Yarrowia lipolytica: one gene and its partners. The protein of the gene in region 3 purifies or fractionates together with the protein of the main gene of each other region. This does not show direct contact. Links are inferred from orthologs where the notes say so. Each region holds a gene or a part of one and is shown on either strand. Other genes may lie near its edges. The genes, in order: YALI1_C22857g, YALI1_A05052g, YALI1_B30214g and YALI1_C10730g.

Region 1 (3,925 bases), on a different chromosome or scaffold from region 3:
ACTACAGACATATGTATCCGAGTGGATCGGAGTCGTACTTGAGAGCCGAACAGATTGAAGATCTCCATTGTTCTTACCGATCATCTGGAAAGGTGTAAGTACCATATGTGCTACCCGTACTGTATGTACAGACTAGAAGCATTCTCTCAATGATTGATCTACTTGTTGTCTTCAACTGAGCCTTGGAGTGGAGCTCAAGCCGCGCGAGGTATCCGAGTCATGGTAACAATAGAAACACAAGAACCTCCTGAACGAGCTCCACCCAGACATCACCATTGTCGACTCACGACCTGAAAGATCTCTGGGACTACTTGTACTGATCTGGAGATCAGGTGAAAGTGGTCAGAATATCGTGGTCAACTGTGCGGATCGAACGTGCATTGTACGACGTAACCAGGAGGCAAGTATGGTGTGTACTGTACTGTACTTGTAGACTAGAATTGTGTCCTGAAAAGACTGGCATGTGTCCAATGTCTGTTATCCATGCTAAAGTACGGGTCAAGCCAGTCAAGTTCATGTAGAACCGACTGAGAGAGTCTGCTTCTTTCTGAACAAAGACGTCTTGGTCTTGTCTTCCTGCCCCGTCCTGCTTCACTTGCCTGGATTGGCGGCAGCTCAGCCCGGCGGCTTAGTCCGAGCAGTACCATTGCGATCTCCTTGTCTCTGTAACCTCGTCACTCATATCCCCTCAACGAGCACGCCGGATAGAGCATCTGGCAGCTTTCAGTCTCGAAAAAGGCACATGAGAGAGTAAGAGCACGGAGAGACCACGGTTGGTAGGTTCCACGGGTTCTTCTCTAGCGTGCTACAGGTACGAGTACACGTACATACTGTACAGTACATACATACATACCACCTGAAAGCGGCGCTCTGGAGTATCTCACTCTGAAGGCCCTTCGTTGTCACTCTGGAGTATCTCACTCTGAAGGCCCTTCGTTATCACTCTGGAGTATCTCACTCTGATGGCCCTCCACTGTCACTCTGGAGTATTTCACTCTGTACCTCTGTCGTCAGAGACCACCCTCATGGCTCCTGGAGACGTTCTGAAAAACATGTTCAGTACAGAGCCATATGGTACCCGTGAGAGCAACACACAATCTCCCTTCGTAATCGCGTCAACCATCTCATCCACTCTCCCCGGACCGTACCGTCCCTCCACAAACTCTGTCACTACTCAGATCCCAATCACTGCGCCAAAGGTAGGGTTAATCGCAGCATGAGAGACGCAATCAGCAAAAAAAATTGGACCTGTGCATGATGCAAGTTCCCTACTTGTAGAATAATAATAATAAAAAAATAAAAAAAAAGTTGGTGCGTGACCTTGGTCGATTGTGTATCTATGAATGACGGTACTAGGAGTCGTGGAACTATCATGAGCTCTTCTGATCCTGTCTAGCCCCTCATTTGGTTTTAGCGTCTGTTGAAGATACCCCAAAGCCCATATTAGTGGCCGTAGTACCACATTGGTTCGTTTGTGAAAAAAAAAAAAAAAAAAAAAAAAAAAAAAACTTTCAAGCGTAGTTAAATATTTTGCGAATATTTGGGTGGGTCTGAACAGAGGTACAGCCAGCACTGGTAGATATATGGTGACTGGAGCGTGAAATCAAATAAGGAAATACGAATAGGGCATTTCCAGTGACCAAATCCCACCGACAATGGAGATATTGCAAAACCAGTAGTCCCCCTTCCAGCCCAATTGCTCCATTTCGAGTGGCTTGGAGGGACCAACTAATACCTAAATCATTTAACATTAAATAAACATTAAACAAAAGTCCCAACTACTTGCTAACCATATTTGTTCTAAAAACTCCCACTCCCAACTAACCTAGTTGGCAACTAAAGGCCAAACCTAACCTGTCTCCGAAACGCTCCACAGAACGCCAATCAAAACGAAAAAAACACCATAATACTACCGCGTTCTCTAATTTTCACCATTCACCACCTTTTCTCTTCTCAACCCCGTCCCCCCGTTTCCAACCAGACCCAAGTGGCCAAATCAGACCCACTGTTTCTGTGCACAAACGGGCAAACTCTAACCGCTACCCAAACCCAGAAAAATTTTTGAAAGCCTAAAAAGATCTTCTACCAAAAAAATATTCCTTAGTGCATCTTGACATTCATCACCACACAACCAGTGCAATAACCCATATTGCACCACACAAAAAGGACTTTGAAACACAACACATACACATAATGGGCTTTACTCCTAGAGGTGGACGAGGCGGAGGCCGAGGAGGATTCGGCGGCGGAGACCGTGGTGGACGAGGTGGCCGAGGAGGGTTTGGCGGACGAGGTGGTGGACGAGGTGGATTCGGCGGAGACCGAGGAGGACGAGGAGGCGCTCGGGGCGGCCGAGGTGGTGCCCGAGGTGGTGCCCGAGGCGGTGCCCGTGGTGGTCGAGGTGGTGCTCGAGGTGGTGCCAAGGGCGGAGCCAAGGTCATTGTCGAGCCCCATCGACACGGCGGTGTCTTCATTGCCCGAGGTAAGGAGGATCTCCTTGTCACCAAGAACCTGACCCCCGGTGAGTCTGTCTACGGCGAGAAGCGAGTTTCGGTCGATGTTCCTGCCACCACCCCCGATGGCGAGGCCACCAAGGTCGAGTACCGAGTGTGGAACCCCTTCCGATCCAAGCTGGCTGCAGGTATTCTCGGTGGTCTCGATGAGCTCTTCATCGGCCCCGGATCCAAGGTCCTTTACCTTGGTGCTGCTTCCGGAACCTCCGTTTCCCATGTTGCCGATGTCGTGGGCCCCACCGGTACCGTCTACGCCGTTGAGTTCTCCCACAGATCCGGCCGAGACCTGATAGGCATGGCCAAGAAGCGACCTAACGTCATCCCCATCATTGAGGATGCTCGACACCCCCAGAAGTACCGAATGCTTGTCGGTATGGTCGATGCTGTCTTCGCCGATGTTGCCCAGCCTGATCAGGCCCGAATTATCGCCCTGAACGCACACCTGTTCCTCAAGGACCAGGGAGGAGTCATCATCTCCATCAAGGCCAACTGTATCGACTCCACTGTCGAGGCCGAGACCGTGTTTGCCCGAGAGGTTCAGAAGCTGCGAGAGGAGCGAATCAAGCCTCTGGAACAGCTGACCCTGGAGCCTTACGAGCGAGACCATTGCATTGTTATTGGCAAGTACATTCGAGCTAACAAATAAGTGTCTTCCACAGGATGATGCGGCTATGGGGTGCTAGATTGGATATAAATAATAATTGTATACTTTGATTGAGACATGTAGGATGGATACAGGAACTTGTACGACGGGAACATGGGGTGGGACCAGGGAGCCAGGGCACCACGAGACCACGGATCACGGACTCACTATTGTGCGAATGTTGATCTACTCCAATTGGACGCAGATTATGCATGCCATTTTGGAGGATTATAGAAAATGAGTTGATGAGTAATACAAGTACAATTACTTGTACTGGACGCATGTTCAAAGTATTTGCGCTCGACTGTGGCAATTGACACTGGACAGACTGAATACGAAACTTGGATAATCCCACTTGCATCGCTTAGTAATCACGAACATACAATAACCAAGTGTATTTCAACTAAATACTTAACTAAGCTAATGTGGACGACGATGTTTGTATTGATTGTAGTTTTTTTTTAGTTCAACAGAAAACGTTGAATTTTTAATACATATGGTAAAAGTGGCATTTTTGTTTCACTTGGTCTAGTTTCAGATCTCCATCACATCGGGAATATTCTTTCAGAGTGCTCGTTTCTTCAACTAAAGCCAACTAAAGCCAACTAAAGCCAAGTACACTTGGAATGTACTGTAGCACTGCCCGATCTTGTTTGCCACCCTCTTGAAAAGCACACCACTGATGATCTCCGACCTGTTGGAGGTATATATATTAGACACTCAGATGGTCGAGACTTCATCAGCGAGTGCTGATTTATTAAGACATGTC
Region 2 (6,174 bases), on a different chromosome or scaffold from region 3:
TAATGATGGACGAGACAATGGAGAAGACGCCCTCCCACACGTTCTCAGTCATGCCCCACAGATCGTGTCCGTAGATGTAAAAGGTGGCAATGAACGCACCTCCCACGGCCAGACAGATGAGCAGACCGAAGATTCCACCCAGCCATACCTGGGTAACAAGCCGTCGATACACTTGCAAGTCCTTCTGGGACACATTATCGCCCAGACCCTGGTTGAGGAACGCCAGAAGCACGGAGATGATAATCGCCGTCTCAATGGTCTCTCGGAAGATGATGAAGAAGACCTGAACCGAGAAATAATTCTCGAAAAAGTCCGCGTAGTTGACCATGTTGTGTTGTGGAGTACAACCTGGAAAGAGTGAGTCTGGTAATTAAAAGCGACTTTTCAAAATAAGCTCCGTAGGGGTTAGAGTTGGGCGGCGTGGTGGTGGACATTTATCAAGGGGCAATCGGGGGTTATAGGGGCGGAATTTGAACGCAAAAAACAGATCATCCCACTACTAACGCGACAATAAATAGATTCAAAACATCTCCCGTTCAATTTGGCCGTCCCTATAGCTCTTTAAACGCCTCTCTTATCTGATGTTGCTCCATCTGATAACTGCACAACCTAATTATCCGGAGCCTATTTTTCTGCGTATAACCGTAACGGAGGAAACAACAAAACGGTGGCAACAGCTCCCAGAATCGTCGCAAACCGGGAAGTAAAAGGCGAAAATTCCTCACAGTCACGTGAGAAGTTTGTGCCCGTCACATGATGTCCAGGGTTCCGTCTTGGGTTCCTGGTACCCTGTTATTTCGCCATCCCATCACTCCGCCACCCCACACACCCATAACCCTTGACTAGCACGGCTCATTAACAAAAAGGCAAAAGGGAAGCATCGTCACGTTGCGGCTAATTGGAAGTGTATGGAGGAATCAATTTAGAGAAGTTTGGCGCAGTCCGATCAAAGCACAAGTGGCATAGAACGACTCCTCAGAACGAGCCAATCAAAAACGGTATGTTTTTCTCCCACATTGGACTCTTATTAAGCAACTAGAACTCCACCGAAACTGATTCGGAGCGAATCTACCTTGCACCTGAGTTCCGTTATAAAGTGGAATGTTCATCTCCGACAACAGAACTCACACAACTTGCCCAATTGAGCTCCGATTGGGCCGCCAGAAATTTCAGTACATCTGCTGTCCCTCGCTGACCATTTCTATATATAAATATTGCCATTGTACCCCGTCAAAACAGACACAGACTAGAACTAGGCATTGCCAAAGTTTACAGCAATACCCTGCACTCTTGCAACAGAACATACACTAAACATGCGCGACAATGGTTTAGAACGGCGCTCGGGGTTTCTCCTTTCCTTTTTATCCGCATTAGTCACGTGCGGCCAAGACTTTCCACCCTCAACTGCATACTATCTGCGTCCCCGTTAGCCACTTTGAGTGCAACTACGGTGGGTCTGTTTAGTCCAGATCGTCTTCTCAACAGGGTTGTATTTTGTAGTTAGTTGCAAGGAGGTAAAAGACTATAAACCCGAAAGACCTTGTTTGTGAATGCGAATCCACGTGAGTTCACGTGGTTGGCACGTGGCTGTATGCCTACGACTGTTCTGGTCAGGCTGTCACTTGTGCATTCTTTTTTTTTCCTTTCTTTTGTCGAGTTCGTTAGCAACATGCACTCGGAGTCCGAGCGGAGCTACAAGCACTCACCAAGGAACCACAAGCCACAGTGGCGCAGCCGAATGAGACACGGCGCACCGATCAGATAACGTCATCTGATAAGAGGGGAAGAGCTTGTTCGTCAGTGCCGTGTAGTTTCAGGGCCGTTTGGAGTGTCATACGTTGAAAACTGTAGTGCATAAAAGACAGTCGTTGTGTCAAGGCTAATCCTCTTTAGTTGAATGTTTGTTAGGAAAGGGTGTTCTGTGATACCGCAAGTTATAATTTTTTAACATATATTTCAGAAATACTAGGGGAATTTCAAGCCTGAAATGACAAAGAAAGTGTTCAGATTGTAGAACTGAATGAACAGAACGAATTGGGACCATCTTTTCCATTCATTTGTACACACCCACTCGATCCAGCAGAACCGATTGGGAATGCCACACTCAGACAATTAGTTAAGATTAGTTGGAATCAAGCGCACTTATTTGTTATGTTTTTTATTAACGGAGGGATCTCTCAGAGAACTCATTGATCTAACTAAGGCAATATGAACAAGACAAATTGTCATAAAGAGACCATTCCAAACCACACCATATCCTCTATCATTCCCCTGGGACTCTTCCTACGCATCCTACGACGTGGTTTGGTTCTCCCTATTCTGCTCACCATCTAGCCCTAACCTCCATGCATCTCAATGCACGTTTAAAAATTATTTTTCCAGGCTGAATATTTCCGTACACACTCACACCATGGCTATCAAACAGAATGCGAAAAAGGGCGGCAAGCCTGGCAAGCCAGGTGGAAAGCCTCCTGGTGGGGGCAAGCCTGCTGGCGGCAAGAAGGTGTTTCGAAAAATCAAAAACGGCTTTGTGGAGCCTCGAAAAGCGAAAGCGGCCAAGGGTACGACTGTGGCAGCCATGGACATTGTTTCTGCTGCTGATCTGAGTGCCAGCGAGAGCGAAGACGAAAACAAGTTGAAGGATTTCGCCAAGTTTGACGATGATGAAGAGGAGAAGGAAGACAAGGGTGGCAAGGCCGAGAAGGACGTCAAGAAGGATGTCCAGAAGGACGTCAAGAAGGATGTCCAGAAGGATGTCCAGAAGGATGTCAAGAAGAGTGTCAAGAAGGATGTCCAGAAGGCTGGCAAGAAGGATACCCAAAAGGATGTCAAGAAGGCTGATGCTAAAACTAACAGCGCCATTGAGGGTTTCGCACAAGCCACTAAAGGTGAAGAGGCTGAGGTCTCTGTGCCTGCGAAGGAAGTTAACAAGGCTGCCAAGAAGGAGGACAAGGATGTGAAAAAGGACACTAAGACAAAGGATACTGTCAAGACTAAGGTCAAGGCTGCTGTTTTACCCGAATCTGACGCAGAAATGGACAACTGGTCAGATGCCGAGTTTTCAGACGGTGGGGAAACCATCGATCTTCCTGCACCCGGAACAAAGCCTCTCGACATTAACAAAATGAACTGGAAGAAGGTTGAGCTAGGCGACAAGAAGATGGACTTTGAGGGTTTCTACGGACTTGAAGAGCTGGACGGTGTTGATATTGTGGTCAACAACGGCCTTCCTACTTTTGTTGTAGGGGAGAAGCCTGAGAAGAAGAACTCTAAGAAAGAGACCAAGAAGGCCGAAGTTAAGAAGGATAAGTCTGGGGATGCCTCTGAGCCAGCCAAGAAGAAGGCCAAGGTTGCCAAGGACGGAAAGGACGGCAAGGAGGTTGCCAAGACTCAACCTAAACAGAACAGCAAGAAAAAGGCCGAGGGAAACGCATTTGAGGCCCTCAATAGTGTGCCCGACGACATTCATCTCCCTGACTGGACTCTCAACGGCGAGCAGCTTAACTACTCCCTCATCCAGGGCCTGTATGCTCTTGGCTACAAGTCTCCTACAGAAATTCAGAAGAAGTCGATCCCACCCATTCTGGCGGGTGATGACGTGATTGGAAAGGCCAGTACCGGTAGTGGTAAGACGCTGGCGTACGGTCTGCCGATTTTGCATCGATTTTTGGAGGCTGAGAAGTCAGACAAGAAGGAGGAGGTCGAGGAGGAGGTCCCTGAGAAGTGTACTACCAAACCCAGACCTAAGAAGGTGACCAAGATGACCGGACAGGAAGAAAAGAAGGACGACGAGGAAGAGGAAGAGCGATTCGATATGTACGATGAGGCTCCCGAGCCCCGCTTTGATATTTCCGACCGACCTGCTGACCTTCCTGTGCTTGACAAGGAGCGAGAAGACCGAGAAAACGAGGTGGAGATGGACGAAGAGACCGAAAAGGTGGAGAGAGACATGTCTTCTGTTAAGCCTCCTCAGGCCATTGTTTTTGCCCCCACCCGAGAGCTTGCTCATCAGATCACCGACCATTTGAATGCCGTGTCTCAGTTCTGTCCTATTTCTGGACCGCGAGTCATGGCTCTGACCGGTGGACTGTCTATCATGAAGCAGCGACGTCTCATGAAATGGAACCCTGCCATCGTTGTCGCCACCCCAGGTCGATTCCACGAGTTCATCACCGATACCGACGGCATGGTTGATGTGTTTAAGCGAACCAAGACTGTGGTAATGGACGAAGCCGATCGAATGCTTCAGGATGGACACTATGAGGATCTTGACAAGGCCCTGGATCTCATTGGACGAGGAAAGGTGGCCAAACGACAGACATGTGTGTTTTCAGCCACCTTCCAGAAGTCGCTCATGTTCAAGCTGGACAAGAAGCGAAAGCAAAGAACAGGTCTGGCCACCGATCAGGAAACCATCCGATTCCTCGTGTCCAAGATGAAGTTCCGACAGTTCCATCCTACTTTTGTGGACGCCAACCCTGCCGAAGTTGTCGCTCGACAGGTTCTGGAGAGTATCGTCGAGTGTGGCGCCATGGAGAAGGACCAATACCTATACTACTTCCTGCTGACCTACCCCGGCAAATCCATCATTTTTGTCAACTCCATCGACTCTGTCAAGCGTCTCACTCCCATGTTGCAGAACCTCGAGCTCCCCGCTGTGCAGCTGCACTCCAACATGATCCAGAAGGCCCGTATGCGGTCCCTAGAGCGGTTCCGAGACAACAAGAACGGTATTCTGGTTGCGACTGATGTCGCAGCTCGAGGTCTGGATATCCCCAATGTGCACCATGTTGTGCATTACCACCTGCCTCGAACTGCAGATGTCTACGTGCATCGATCTGGACGTACTGCTCGAGCGGGAAACGAGGGTGTTTCTGTGCTCCTGTGTTCGCCCGACGAAGCGTCGGGACCTCTGCGAAAGCTGCGAGCTGCCCTGTCACGTGACAATGCTCTTGCGAAGCTGAAACCTCTGTCCATGAACTACGACGTGCTGGCTCAGATCAAGCCCCGAGTGGAGCTTGCCAAGGAGTTGGCGGATTCGGTTCTGGACTCCACACAGGTTGGCAAGCAGGATTCGTGGCTCAAGGAGGCTGCCGAGGACCTTGGAGTCGACTTTTCCGACTTTGAGAACGATACCCACGATCACAAGAGCCATGTGCGAACCAAGCTAGGCAACAACAGCAAGAAGGGCATGAAGGTGATGAGCAAGGACCAGATGGCTCGTACTCGAAAGGAGCTTGAGAAGCTACTTAGTAAGCCTCTGGGACGACATTCGTCCAAATACATCACTTCTACTAACGGAATCAACTTGGCCAAGATGGTTCTGGATGGAAAGTCGCATGACAAGATTATGGGAGTGGCTCCTCAGACTGCTGGAGAGACCCTGAGAAAGAAGCGAAAGAACTAGAAAGCGAATAGCCGAAGTTCAATGCGGACCAAAACATGGAGGAGTTTATAGAGCAATCATAATGGATAAGATGTACTGTTCAAGTTCAACAGTAGTATACCGTACAGGTGCTGGTTGAGTTCTACAACCACTAGTTTTGTGCGTAATCAAGACAAATGATGGGAACAACTGGTTACCTCAACAATACTTTTGCACCTACATATCTCTAGGACCGCTCAATTGTTCAAGACTGTATTGTATTTTCATTAGTTACATCCCTTTAACATAAGAGAAGGAAATGAACAATTCCTTCAGTAAGAGCGACGTACAGGCGATTAATAGCTATAAGTAGCCCACAAAGCCTCTCATTCAGAGTCATACATTTTCCGTTTTATTAAATCATAATTGCATCCCATCCATACTTTACAATCCCAGCGGCAGCGTGCTCTAGGTACCGGAGACACACTAACACACTCTCAATGACATTTCTTAGTGCTGCACACTATTCGGTTAGAACCGTCCCCGACCTCTAGGTCCACCTCGTCCTCTGGGACCACCTCGGCCTCTAGGTCCTCCACGGCCTCTCATAGGTCCGCCTCGTCCTCGAGCCGCACCTGGTCCACCTCTTGCCGCGCCAGGAGCACCAGGCTCAACCTTTCTTCTCTTGGCCTTGGGAGTATCATCAATCAAAAGAGTATCCAAGGGTAGCGAGTCGGGGAGAATGAAGAACCGGATTGTGTTGCCTCGAATGTTGATGTAGTCGAGCGAGGTTGGGGGTCGGTTCTTCA
Region 3 (4,801 bases):
CACCATGGTGTGGGCTCCAGCACAGAAATACACCCCTAAAATCCTGCCAGGACAAGGAGGGCAACTGGATCAGTACAGAATCCACGTCACCAACGATAACAAGAACGAAGATAAAGAGAAGATCATCAGTTACGTGCAGAGCAAGGATTCCAAGGAGGATATCCATAATCTGGCAAATCGACAATGGCACTTTCAGATCATGGAGATGCCCGAGGCAGGAAAACAAAAGACCACATCACAGAGCATTTCATCATGGAGCGTTAAGAAGGGTGACTCTTTTCAATTTTTACAGTCGCTCGCCTACAAGTTCCAATATGAGTATTGGCAGAAGGGCTTTCAGTTTGTGTACGGCAATGCAGTGATTCAGCTGACTCGTATTCATATTCTGGACCAGACCACAAAGAACATCAAGCTGCTGGACCCTTCGAAACAGTGGCTGGTCAAGGTGTACATTGATGTAGGGCATTTGACGGACATTGAGGCTCTCAACAAGGCCGTCAAGGAGCTGGAGAAGGTCAAGACAGAATTGCATGGACTCATGAATCTCGAGATTCCCGATAGAAACGCTTTCGACACTCGAATTCGATAATCAGATGCACTTACACAAGTACAAGTACTTTTACGAGTACTGTAATCTGTACTCTGTGCCTTGCATTTCCTCACCAACATAGACTTACAACACTTAATAAATTAGACTATAACCATTTATTATTTATATTCAAAAATAGCAACATGAACACCTACATACACCTGTGCTAGTATTGTACCGGTACAGTACAACTACTGTACAAGTACAACCCCACACACTATCATATTCTATCAATCAATTAGTTATGGTTTTATTTTATTTCCAAGCCGTGGCCCAGTGCCAATTTATCTCTTCTCCTTCTTCTCGTTGAGCTTTCGTCGCTTCTTGAGCTCGGCCTCTCGGTCGCTCTTCTTGTCGTTGGAGTACTGCATCTTCTTGTACAGCTTCTTCTGCTTGTTGGACATCATGATCATTCTGAGCTTCTTGTCCTCCTCTTCCTGTTTTTCAGCCTTGGTCATCTTATCAGCCTTTCGCTTAGCCTTCTTGGGAGCAGCAGCGGGGTCAGCCTTGGTGCCCTTAGCCTCAGCCTCAAGCTCTCGCTGGTGCTGCTTAGCCTCGGCCTCGGCCTCTTCCTCCTCATCGTCCTTGTCGTAGTCTTCAGGAGCAACCTCAATGTCCTCATCATCCTCATCATCATCAGAAGCATCAGAAACATCAGCGGTAGGATCGTAAGTACCAGCATCTCCCCAGGGGGAAAGATGGGCAGGGAGACGCTCTCCAGGGGCGTACTCAGAAACGGGAAGAAGCTTTCCTTCATTAATGGAGTCGAAGACCCACTGGGGCTGAACGTACGTTCGACCAGGGACTTTCTCTCGAAGAGTGGGTCGATCTGTGATCTGGTGAGTGACGCTGGCGAGATTGAACTTCTGCTTAAGAGTCTTCTCATCAATGACGTTACCTCGGGTCTCGTCCTCATTGTCGATGAGTTCGTCCATGGCAGACTCAGAAATGACCTTTCCTCCAAATGCGATGATCAGGAACTCAATGATATCAAGGGGAACCTCTCGACCAATGAAGATAGTGAAGTTAGAGAAGAGCTGACCGGCGGTAGAGTTGAATGTGGGCTGGGCAAGGGCGTCACCCTTCTCGGCGGAGAAGGAGTCCAGTCCGTCGTCCTCGACTTCCTCCTCTTCCTCAACCTCCTCCTCCTCGCCGGCATCAGCCTTAGCAGCCTTGGACAGAACGGCAGCAGACACGTTCTCGACCTTTGCCTCGGAGTTACCCTCAATCTGGGGGACAACACCGGCGTTCTGTCGAGACTCCAGCACGTACGCATTGATACCTCCAACACCACTGAGCTTGGTGGAGTTGATGATGGGAGGGAAAACAAGACCGTTCTCATTGTAAAGCTTGTAGAGAACGAAATGCAGTAGGGTGGTGTAGAACTCGAGGAATGTCAGCATGACTCGGAAGTCAATATCGGCAGGAATGTTCTGGGGGAATCGGAAGGGCACGAGCCACATGACCTCGACTCCTCGAATGTTGGCAGAGTAGTAGACTCCCTTGATGGAAACAAACACTTTTCGCACAAGTCGTTCTCGGGCAACAAAGGCCATCCACTGGGTGCAAATGGCCTCGGCTTCGGAAACAAGTCGAGCAGAAACGTCGTCGGAAGCAGGCAAAGCGGCGAAAAGGAACAGCATGGACAGAGCATCGTCAATATCTCTCAGAGCGTCCATGAAAGTGGGGTATCGCTCCTTGATGATATGGTCCAAATGGTATCGAGGTCGGTTCTCGTCGATTCGCTTGGCATCATGAAGATCGCCTCGACCAAGAGCTCGGGTCAGCTTCTTGGCAAAGGTCTTGTGCTCTCGGAACTTGTCGAGAACGGGCTCATGCAAAAGGTACTGAATGTCCTTGGCGTAGTAGAAGGTGACGGGAGCTGTGGATCCCTTGTTGGCCTTCTTCTTGCTTCGGGGCTCTCGAGGGTAGATACCCTTGAAGATACAGAGCCGTCGGAAGTCGGCAAGCGAGACCTGTAGCTTTCGGATAGCCTGAGTTCGAGTGATGAAGTTTCGAGCGGCTCCAGCGGTATGCTTTTTCTTGATCTGGCCCATTGTTGTGTGTGTGAAGAGTAACAGACTTCTGAATATTTTTTTGGGATAGGATTTTTACAATGCATAAACTCTATAAATTTCTGCTGGGACATTTTTTTCGCCCAATGCATGGATTGCTTAGTAATCAGGGAGTTGAATGGTGCCAGGTGAATATAATATATTTGGTAATTTCGGATGCAAGAATGAATATTACCATGTCTCACCATGCCATACTCCTCATTATATAAGGCCACATACTTATACAGTAAGAAGTGTACATCACTTATCTGTGGATTAGGTTTTGCTGCCCTCATCGCCACTAATAAGGCAGTATCTTTTCTCAAGTAGACTTGATAGGCATCGTCTGCAGCAACATCCACCTCCACACCTCTTCTATCGCAACCATACCCATGAACTTCTTCAGAGGCAACATCGTTCTGGGGAGACTGGCTCCTGGTTTCTGGAAGAGTACTCAGACTCTGGGCTCCACCTCCAACCCCATTGTCAAGAATGTGGTCGGTCCTACCCCTGGCCAGATCAACACCATGTTCCGGCAGATGCAACGACTTGGCAAGCGGGGTGGCATTGCTGACATGCTGAAGGAGACCCGAGGCAAGTTCAATGCCCTGAGGAACGATACAAAGACGTTTGCATACAACACAAAGGGCCTCTTCACGGCTCGACCCTTCACCAACTTCGCTTACGGCGATGGTGCCCGATGGATTTACCCCGGAGGTGATCCCACCAAATACATTCTGGCCAAAGCTCTGGCCTTCTCTATCGGTACCATTGTTGTCTCTTACTTTGCCTTTCCTCTGTTGTTCAAGTATACACCCATTGGCGTGTTTGCGCAGCGGCCTGACTGGATGATCTCTGCCATCATCGGTGTCAATGCTGCCTTCTTCTTGCTGTGGAAGTCCGGTAACCCCTGGATCATCCGATTCATGTTCGAGAACATGCTTCTCAAGACCGGGCCCGGTTTCCGACCTGCTCAGCTTATTGGATCAGCCTTCTCCCACCAGGAGTTCTGGCATTTCTTCGTTAACATGTTTGTGCTCTATCAGTTTGGTATCCCTGTTGCTATGACCATGGGATCTGCCTGGTTCTGCCACATGTACATGACCTCTGTTGTTGTCTCTTCTTTCACCTCCCTGCTCGTGCCTTCTCTGCTCGGCCGAGCAATTATGTCTCTGGGTGCCTCGGGAGCCATCTTCTCCGTTGTTGGTGTTTTCTGTTCCGTCTTTCCTGACGCCACTATTGGTTTCTTCTTCGTTCCTCTGCCTTTTGGCGCATGGTGGTTCTTCCTCGGTTCCATCGCCATGAACGTTGGAGGTATTGTTGGAAGATGGGGTCGGTACGATTATGCTGGACACTTGGGTGGATCCCTGTCTGGTCTGTACTTTGGCTGGAGAGTTAACCAGTTCCGATCCGAGATGCGAGAACGAATGAAGCGACGAGGATACCCCGGTTTCAACTTTTAAACATTATGTAAATTATAGATCCATGATATAGATAAGCAGGTCTCTGTTCCTTCCACTATCGTAGTACATACTGTACCTACAGTACATACTGGAATGTATGTACAATGTAGTCTTAGATGAGAAAAGCGCGTGCGTGTGTGTGTGTGTGTGTGTGTGTGCGTGTTTTGTATGCATTAATCTACTTGTATATCCATTGTATGTACCGGTACTGTTAATTTCATTGGGTGGGCTCCTCCTGCTTAATATCACGGCTGACAACGAAGAATCGGCCGTCCTTCTTCTCGGCACAACTCAGAGCATCCCATAGAACCTCGGGACCAGGCTCTCCAGAGTCCTCAGCTGTGAGCTGCTCGTATGTAAAGTCCTTGATGGGAGTAAGGCAGGTCAATGGAGCCACTCCGCTGACATCAATGTCGTGAATATGAGAGACCAGGTTTACCTGAGTTCGGAGAGTCTTGATGAGAGAAAACATGGTCTCATCGGAATCAGGCATTGGCAGTGCAGCACTCTTGAAGATGGGTGCCAGCTTTTTTGAGACCTTCTGGAGGGTCTCTGAGGTGATTTCGTCAGAAGAGTGGTCTGAATGCGACAGAAGTTCATCTGTGGACCATTGGTTTTCCGGGCTGTTCATAACCTTGAGGATGTGCTTTTGGTCCTTCATTTTGATGAATCCATCGGATGAGAAGTGGATTCCC
Region 4 (5,018 bases), on a different chromosome or scaffold from region 3:
AGTCGACCACGACCACTCTGTCAATTGCATCTTCTTCTTCGGCTGTTTTGTCTGGCTTCCCTAAGATGGAGATCACAACCACCAGTAGCGAGGACGATGATGGTGATTCGGACGAGTCCCAGCAAACCAATGACTCGTTCATTTCGTCTCTTTCGCCTTCACAGGCTCTCTCTTCTCCTTCCCAGGGAGTCGATTTATCTCCTTCGCAGCCCTCTATCGACTCTGCCGAGTTTGAGGGCTTTGAGGAGTGTCTACCCGTCAAGAGTGGTCGAAACAGCTTTTTGTCTACTACCACAGCTATTCCTCGGCCGGATTCGTCTCTCTCGTCTCGTTCTTCTCTTCAGCCCACTGTTTCTAACGGTTCCAAGCAGGATCGGTTTTATGAGGTTCGAGAAAGCATTCTGAGAGACACCGCCCCGAGTGATCGGTCTGATGGTGATACTAGGTCGTCGTCGCTGGATCTGCCCAGAAAGGCGTCTCGGTCTTTATCTCTGAGCAGATCATCTGGTGATCTCCGTTCAGGTGAGAATAGTCCTCTCAAACCGTCCATGAGTGTTCGGAAGCTGCGAACCGGTCTTCGAAACGGCTCAGATTCCCCCGGACGGGAAGTTTCGCCTGTTCGAGCTGATAATCCGTCCATTGAGCGATCGTCGTCGCTGATCAGAGGCTCGGACTTTACTTTGCACGGTAAAAAGTTTTCTGTTGTCGAGGTCAATCCCCAATTTGCCGCCACTCCCCACCATAAGAGAACCACCAGCAGGAGTGAGCGCAAGGAGGAGAAGAAGGGGGAGAGTGAGCCCTAGGGCTGACAAAACAATAGCATTATTTATTGAATTAAAATGATTTATGAACTTGTAGTATCGTAGATGCCAGGACAAGATGTATACAGTTTAGCACAACATAGACGTACCTACTAGGGAGAAGCTGTGACTTGTAACTTGAATTGAAATGTTCACAGACTGCGGCTACACACTTATAATTACAGATCCAATCACTTGGGCTTCGCCCGAGTTCGTTCACCTAAGAATAAATTAATAATATACAACAGTGGATTACCTCTGTCCCTCCTTCTTTCTCTGGAAATGCAGGTCCGTCCGGCTGCCTCCGACGTTGATGATCTTCGGACAGCCATCTCTGTCCTTTTCCAGTCGTGTGCATTCAAAGCAGTAATAAGCGTCCGCCACCGCCTGTGTTAGTATGGTAAGCGAAAGTAATGAGAAAAAATCCTTAAGAACGCGATATAGTCACTTCACAGTTGATCTCGAGGGTCCAAGAATCATTCACGAGCTTTTGGTGTTCATTGACCACATCGGAGCTTAGAAACCCTCCTCAGACACGTGTGTCTCATCTCCTCGGCGTCTCCATCTCACCGCACTCAATTCACGCCTTCAGCAAGTCTTCCGTGGGTGCCTTGAATGTACTCACATATCCGTCGCAAATAATACACCGATCCTCCAACTTGCCAAAACTGCACTCATCACAGACCTTGACCAAGGTGGTAGGTCGCACAAACGAGTCGCAGACAGGGCACTTGCCGTCGCACTTTTCACACAGACGGCCCACACGAGTGCCGCTCTGCTTCATGCACAGCACCAGATCGGGATGGTGTCTAGACATTGTGTGATTGTTCGTGTCAGAGTGATACCAAAAGTCGATGCCAGAAGTTTCACTATCGAACTTTATCAGAGCTCCCTAAGAAGGTGGCAAAGAAGACAGTACGACACTAGACGATGTGGAGCCTTTGAAAAGGAGGAAGATTTAGCAGGCTTGTTTATATAGCTTCGAATAGCCCCCAGTATCACTTCATGGTTGAAAGCTCTTCCACCGTGCATTCTGTAGAGTTACTATACATCTTCAAGTATTAGTTACACTCTATAGATGAGACTACCAAGTCTTTTCAACTAATAAAGACTACTGACTTGGTGATACATTTACCACCATTAATTCCATGATATCCAAAAAACAACAACTGCAGTCACATATTTCTCAGTAATGTGTATATACAACCACACCCAGTTCCCCTCCATCTACTACCTCTCTCTCCACAAGTGTAGAACGTCCCCTTCCCTTACCTTCCACCAATCACCTAGTGTTTGCATAATCCATGCAGAGAACGGAGATCACGTGACCAAAATGTATTACGAAAACGGCACGTTGCTAAAAGGTGCCCTATTTTTGGCTGGAGAGTGTTTTATTCAAGAACTGTGTTTGCTTACTAACTACTCTGGCCAACCACAAACGAGACAATTTAGGTTACTTTCTCTAAACTGCTCATAACCTGAAATAGAGTTTGAGAAATCTGCAAGAGCCAAAAAAATTAGAAAGATTGAAAGTCTGATCACGAATTTTTCAAGCATAACTACACATTCACAATGTCGGCGAGTGACGATGTGAGTATCGATGGAAAGATGGAAGCGCCCAAGGGAGGTTCTTTTGGGCTGGAAAGAAGTGCAACAGAGTGGAAAAGTGGAAAAATCCGGATCTATATGGCTTTTGGCAGGTACTTTACCGATCACTCAAGGCGGTTGTTAGACAGAGGAGGTGGTGGACGGATTTGTGACGAGATAAAGAAGGGGTGAAGCATTGGAAGAGCGATTTCGATGCTATTTTGAATGTTGGAGAAGAGCTATGTGTTTTCCTTGATGTGGAAACTGTACTACAGGCTACGTATGTGGTTGGTACGGCTGTACTGCTACACAGACCTCAGGAATGTGTGTATGCTTCTGTTGGAACTGTCCGCGATACTATGCTATCTGCAGACGCTAGAACATTCAAGCGTGCTCCAAATCTGCTTCAAATCAAATCTCAAACGTCCTTGTCGACCTCGTCCATTCTCCTAGTCTCCATCATGAACGCTGTCCATGAGACGTTCGGCAACACTGTGCCATCACCTGAAAGAAGACTCTATGAACATTTTTTCGAGCTGTTTCGGATTTTACCGTCTACAGTCTCTAAAGGTTCGGTCTGAGTCGGTCTGAGTCGGTCTGAGTCGGTCTGCGACCTGCTATAACTGAACCTGAGCTCTACAATATGCTTTCCGAGTGCGACTAAATCACAAGCTGAACCGAGATATCAGTTGAAACACTATAGATTATTGTCCACCGGCAGTTAGGCTGCCCACGACTGCTCGTTCCTACTAACACAGCTCATCTGGGAAATTCTAAACGACCAATTCTGCTCGTTCAAGCTGAAAACCGGCAAAGGCCAGGATTTCTGCAAGAACGAGTACAACGTTACCGGCATCTGCGAGCGCAAGTCTTGCCCTCTCGCCAACTCCAAATACGCCACCGTTCGACGGGTCAACGGCCGATTATACCTTTACATGAAGACTGCTGAGCGAGTGCACACCCCCAATAAGTGGTGGGAGCGGATCCGACTGTCCAAAAACTACAAGCGGGCCCTGGAGCAGATTGACGAGCATCTCATTTACTGGAATGAGTTCCTGGTTGACAAGTGCAAGCAGCGTCTGACTCGTCTCACCCAAGTGGCTGTTGCTGAGCGACGTATTGCCATGAAGGAGGAGGATACCCATTATGTTGGTGTGGCTCCCAAGGTGAAGCGACGAGAGGCTACCCGAGAGCGAAAGGCTCTGGCTGCTGCCAAGGTGGAAAAGGCCATTGAGAAGGAGCTGCTGGACCGTCTCAAGAGCGGAGCATACGGCGAGAACCCTCTCAACGTGGACGAAAAGGTGTGGAAGAAGGTGCTCGAGGGCGTCGAGGGAGCCAACAAGGAAGATGAGGACGAAGAGGAAGAGGAAGAGGAGGACGAAGAGGAAGAGGGTGGAGAGGTTGAATATGTCGAGGATGAGGAAGACGATGACGATCTTGTGGAGCTGGAGGACCTTGAAAAGTGGCTGGGTGGAAGCAGTGACGAGTCTGGAGACGAGACCGATGCCTCTGAGGACGAGACTGATACCGACTCCGAGGACGAGAAGCCTAAGAAGCGAAAGGCTGCTGCTGACGGTAAGAAGCCCAAGCCCAAGACCAAGAAGCGAAAGGGTCCCAGCGTGGAGGTCGAATACGAGGAGGACAATGGCGAGAAGGAAAAGCAAATGGTGGACTGGTAGATACACTGAGAAGGAGCATAGACGGAGGAAAAATGTAATGTATAGAAATACTGACTTGTTTGAGAGCGTTTGTAGTGGAAAGATGTCAGCTACTTCACTATCTTAAGGAGAGATAAACAGAACGTCTTTGCAGTCAGACATCAGAAGTATGGGTGATCTTTATTGCAGTACTTGTAATCATTGAATTTCTGTATGAAGTCTTGCTTGCTTGACCTATCTCTTCATGACAATGTGAATTGAAGCAATGATTGGGCTCCGATGTTAGGGAGAAACGTGCCTTCACTATTCCAAGTACAAAATTACTAAATAATGGTTGATACGAATAATCATAGGCTGCTATGGACTACGTTTAGAGGGAGATAAACGCCTTAAATAGAGGTCGAGCGACAGTAAATAGAGGTTGAGAGACAAGTCGTAGTACAAGTATCTAAGCAACAACGAGATATGTTTCTAGCTATATATATTTACTTGAGCTGGTGCTCCTTGTGCTCCTTGTCATCTCCGTAAGCTTTTGTGCCGTAGTGACCATTGATGCAGATAATGTCCTGGGGTCGATAATCCTGCTTTCCAGAAAAGAAAACCTCAAGGATCTTCTTGGTGCCCTCGGCATATCGGCCCTGGGCGTCGATGGAAGTTCCGGAGATATGAGGAGTCATGGCGTTTCCTCCCCCGTACTTGTTTCGCATGGTTCTCCAGGGGTGGTCCTTAGGGGCAGGCTGGGGGAACCAAACGTCTCCGCCGTAACCTCGGATCTTACCGGACTCGAGAGCCTCGACAATGTCCTCGGTGACACAAATGGCTCCTCGAGCGGTGTTAACGAGCCAGGCACCATCCTTCATGTGCGAGATGAGCTCTTTGTTGAACAGGCCCTTGGTGGAAGCGTGCAGAGGGCAGTTGATGGTGACCACGTCACAAAGAGAGAGCATCTCCTCGAGAGACTCGACTCGACGAC

What was found.
Region 1: the proteins of YALI1_B30214g (region 3) and YALI1_C22857g purify together in Saccharomyces cerevisiae (affinity purification with mass spectrometry; 4 studies listed by BioGRID, with this or other methods). This does not show direct contact. The link is inferred for Yarrowia lipolytica from reciprocal best matches to the Saccharomyces cerevisiae genes NOP7 and NOP1.
Region 2: the proteins of YALI1_B30214g (region 3) and YALI1_A05052g purify together in Saccharomyces cerevisiae (affinity purification with mass spectrometry; 3 studies listed by BioGRID). This does not show direct contact. The link is inferred for Yarrowia lipolytica from reciprocal best matches to the Saccharomyces cerevisiae genes NOP7 and MAK5.
Region 4: the proteins of YALI1_B30214g (region 3) and YALI1_C10730g purify together in Saccharomyces cerevisiae (affinity purification with mass spectrometry, with the first as the bait; 5 studies listed by BioGRID). This does not show direct contact. The link is inferred for Yarrowia lipolytica from reciprocal best matches to the Saccharomyces cerevisiae genes NOP7 and MAK16.

What each region holds. Positions count from the first base shown.
Region 1 is NC_090772.1:2,283,992-2,287,916, reverse strand, and holds YALI1_C22857g (rRNA methyltransferase NOP1), read left to right. Parts: upstream 1-2,193; coding exon 2,194-3,159; downstream 3,160-3,925. Other genes in the region: YALI1_C22878g (uncharacterized protein), read right to left, coding at 1-68; YALI1_C22876g (uncharacterized protein), read left to right, coding at 150-167, 233-433.
Region 2 is NC_090770.1:502,866-509,039, forward strand, and holds YALI1_A05052g (uncharacterized protein), read left to right. Parts: upstream 1-2,410; coding exon 2,411-5,407; downstream 5,408-6,174. Other genes in the region: YALI1_A05031g (uncharacterized protein), read right to left, coding at 1-328; YALI1_A05091g (uncharacterized protein), read right to left, coding at 5,897-6,174. UniProt on the Saccharomyces cerevisiae protein: ATP-binding RNA helicase involved in the biogenesis of 60S ribosomal subunits and is required for the normal formation of 25S and 5.8S rRNAs. Required for the maintenance of dsRNA killer plasmid.
Region 3 is NC_090771.1:3,018,815-3,023,615, forward strand, and holds YALI1_B30214g (uncharacterized protein), read right to left. Parts: upstream 2,647-4,801; coding exon 874-2,646; downstream 1-873. Other genes in the region: YALI1_B30182g (uncharacterized protein), read left to right, coding at 1-589; YALI1_B30218g (uncharacterized protein), read left to right, coding at 3,036-4,106; YALI1_B30234g (uncharacterized protein), read left to right, coding at 4,565-4,801. UniProt on the Saccharomyces cerevisiae protein: Component of the NOP7 complex, which is required for maturation of the 25S and 5.8S ribosomal RNAs and formation of the 60S ribosome.
Region 4 is NC_090772.1:1,070,654-1,075,671, forward strand, and holds YALI1_C10730g (66S preribosome component MAK16), read left to right. Parts: upstream 1-2,372; coding exon 2,373-2,390; intron 2,391-3,145; coding exon 3,146-4,066; downstream 4,067-5,018. Other genes in the region: YALI1_C10675g (uncharacterized protein), read left to right, coding at 1-803; YALI1_C10718g (uncharacterized protein), read right to left, coding at 1,053-1,187, 1,426-1,617; YALI1_C10762g (uncharacterized protein), read right to left, coding at 4,531-5,018.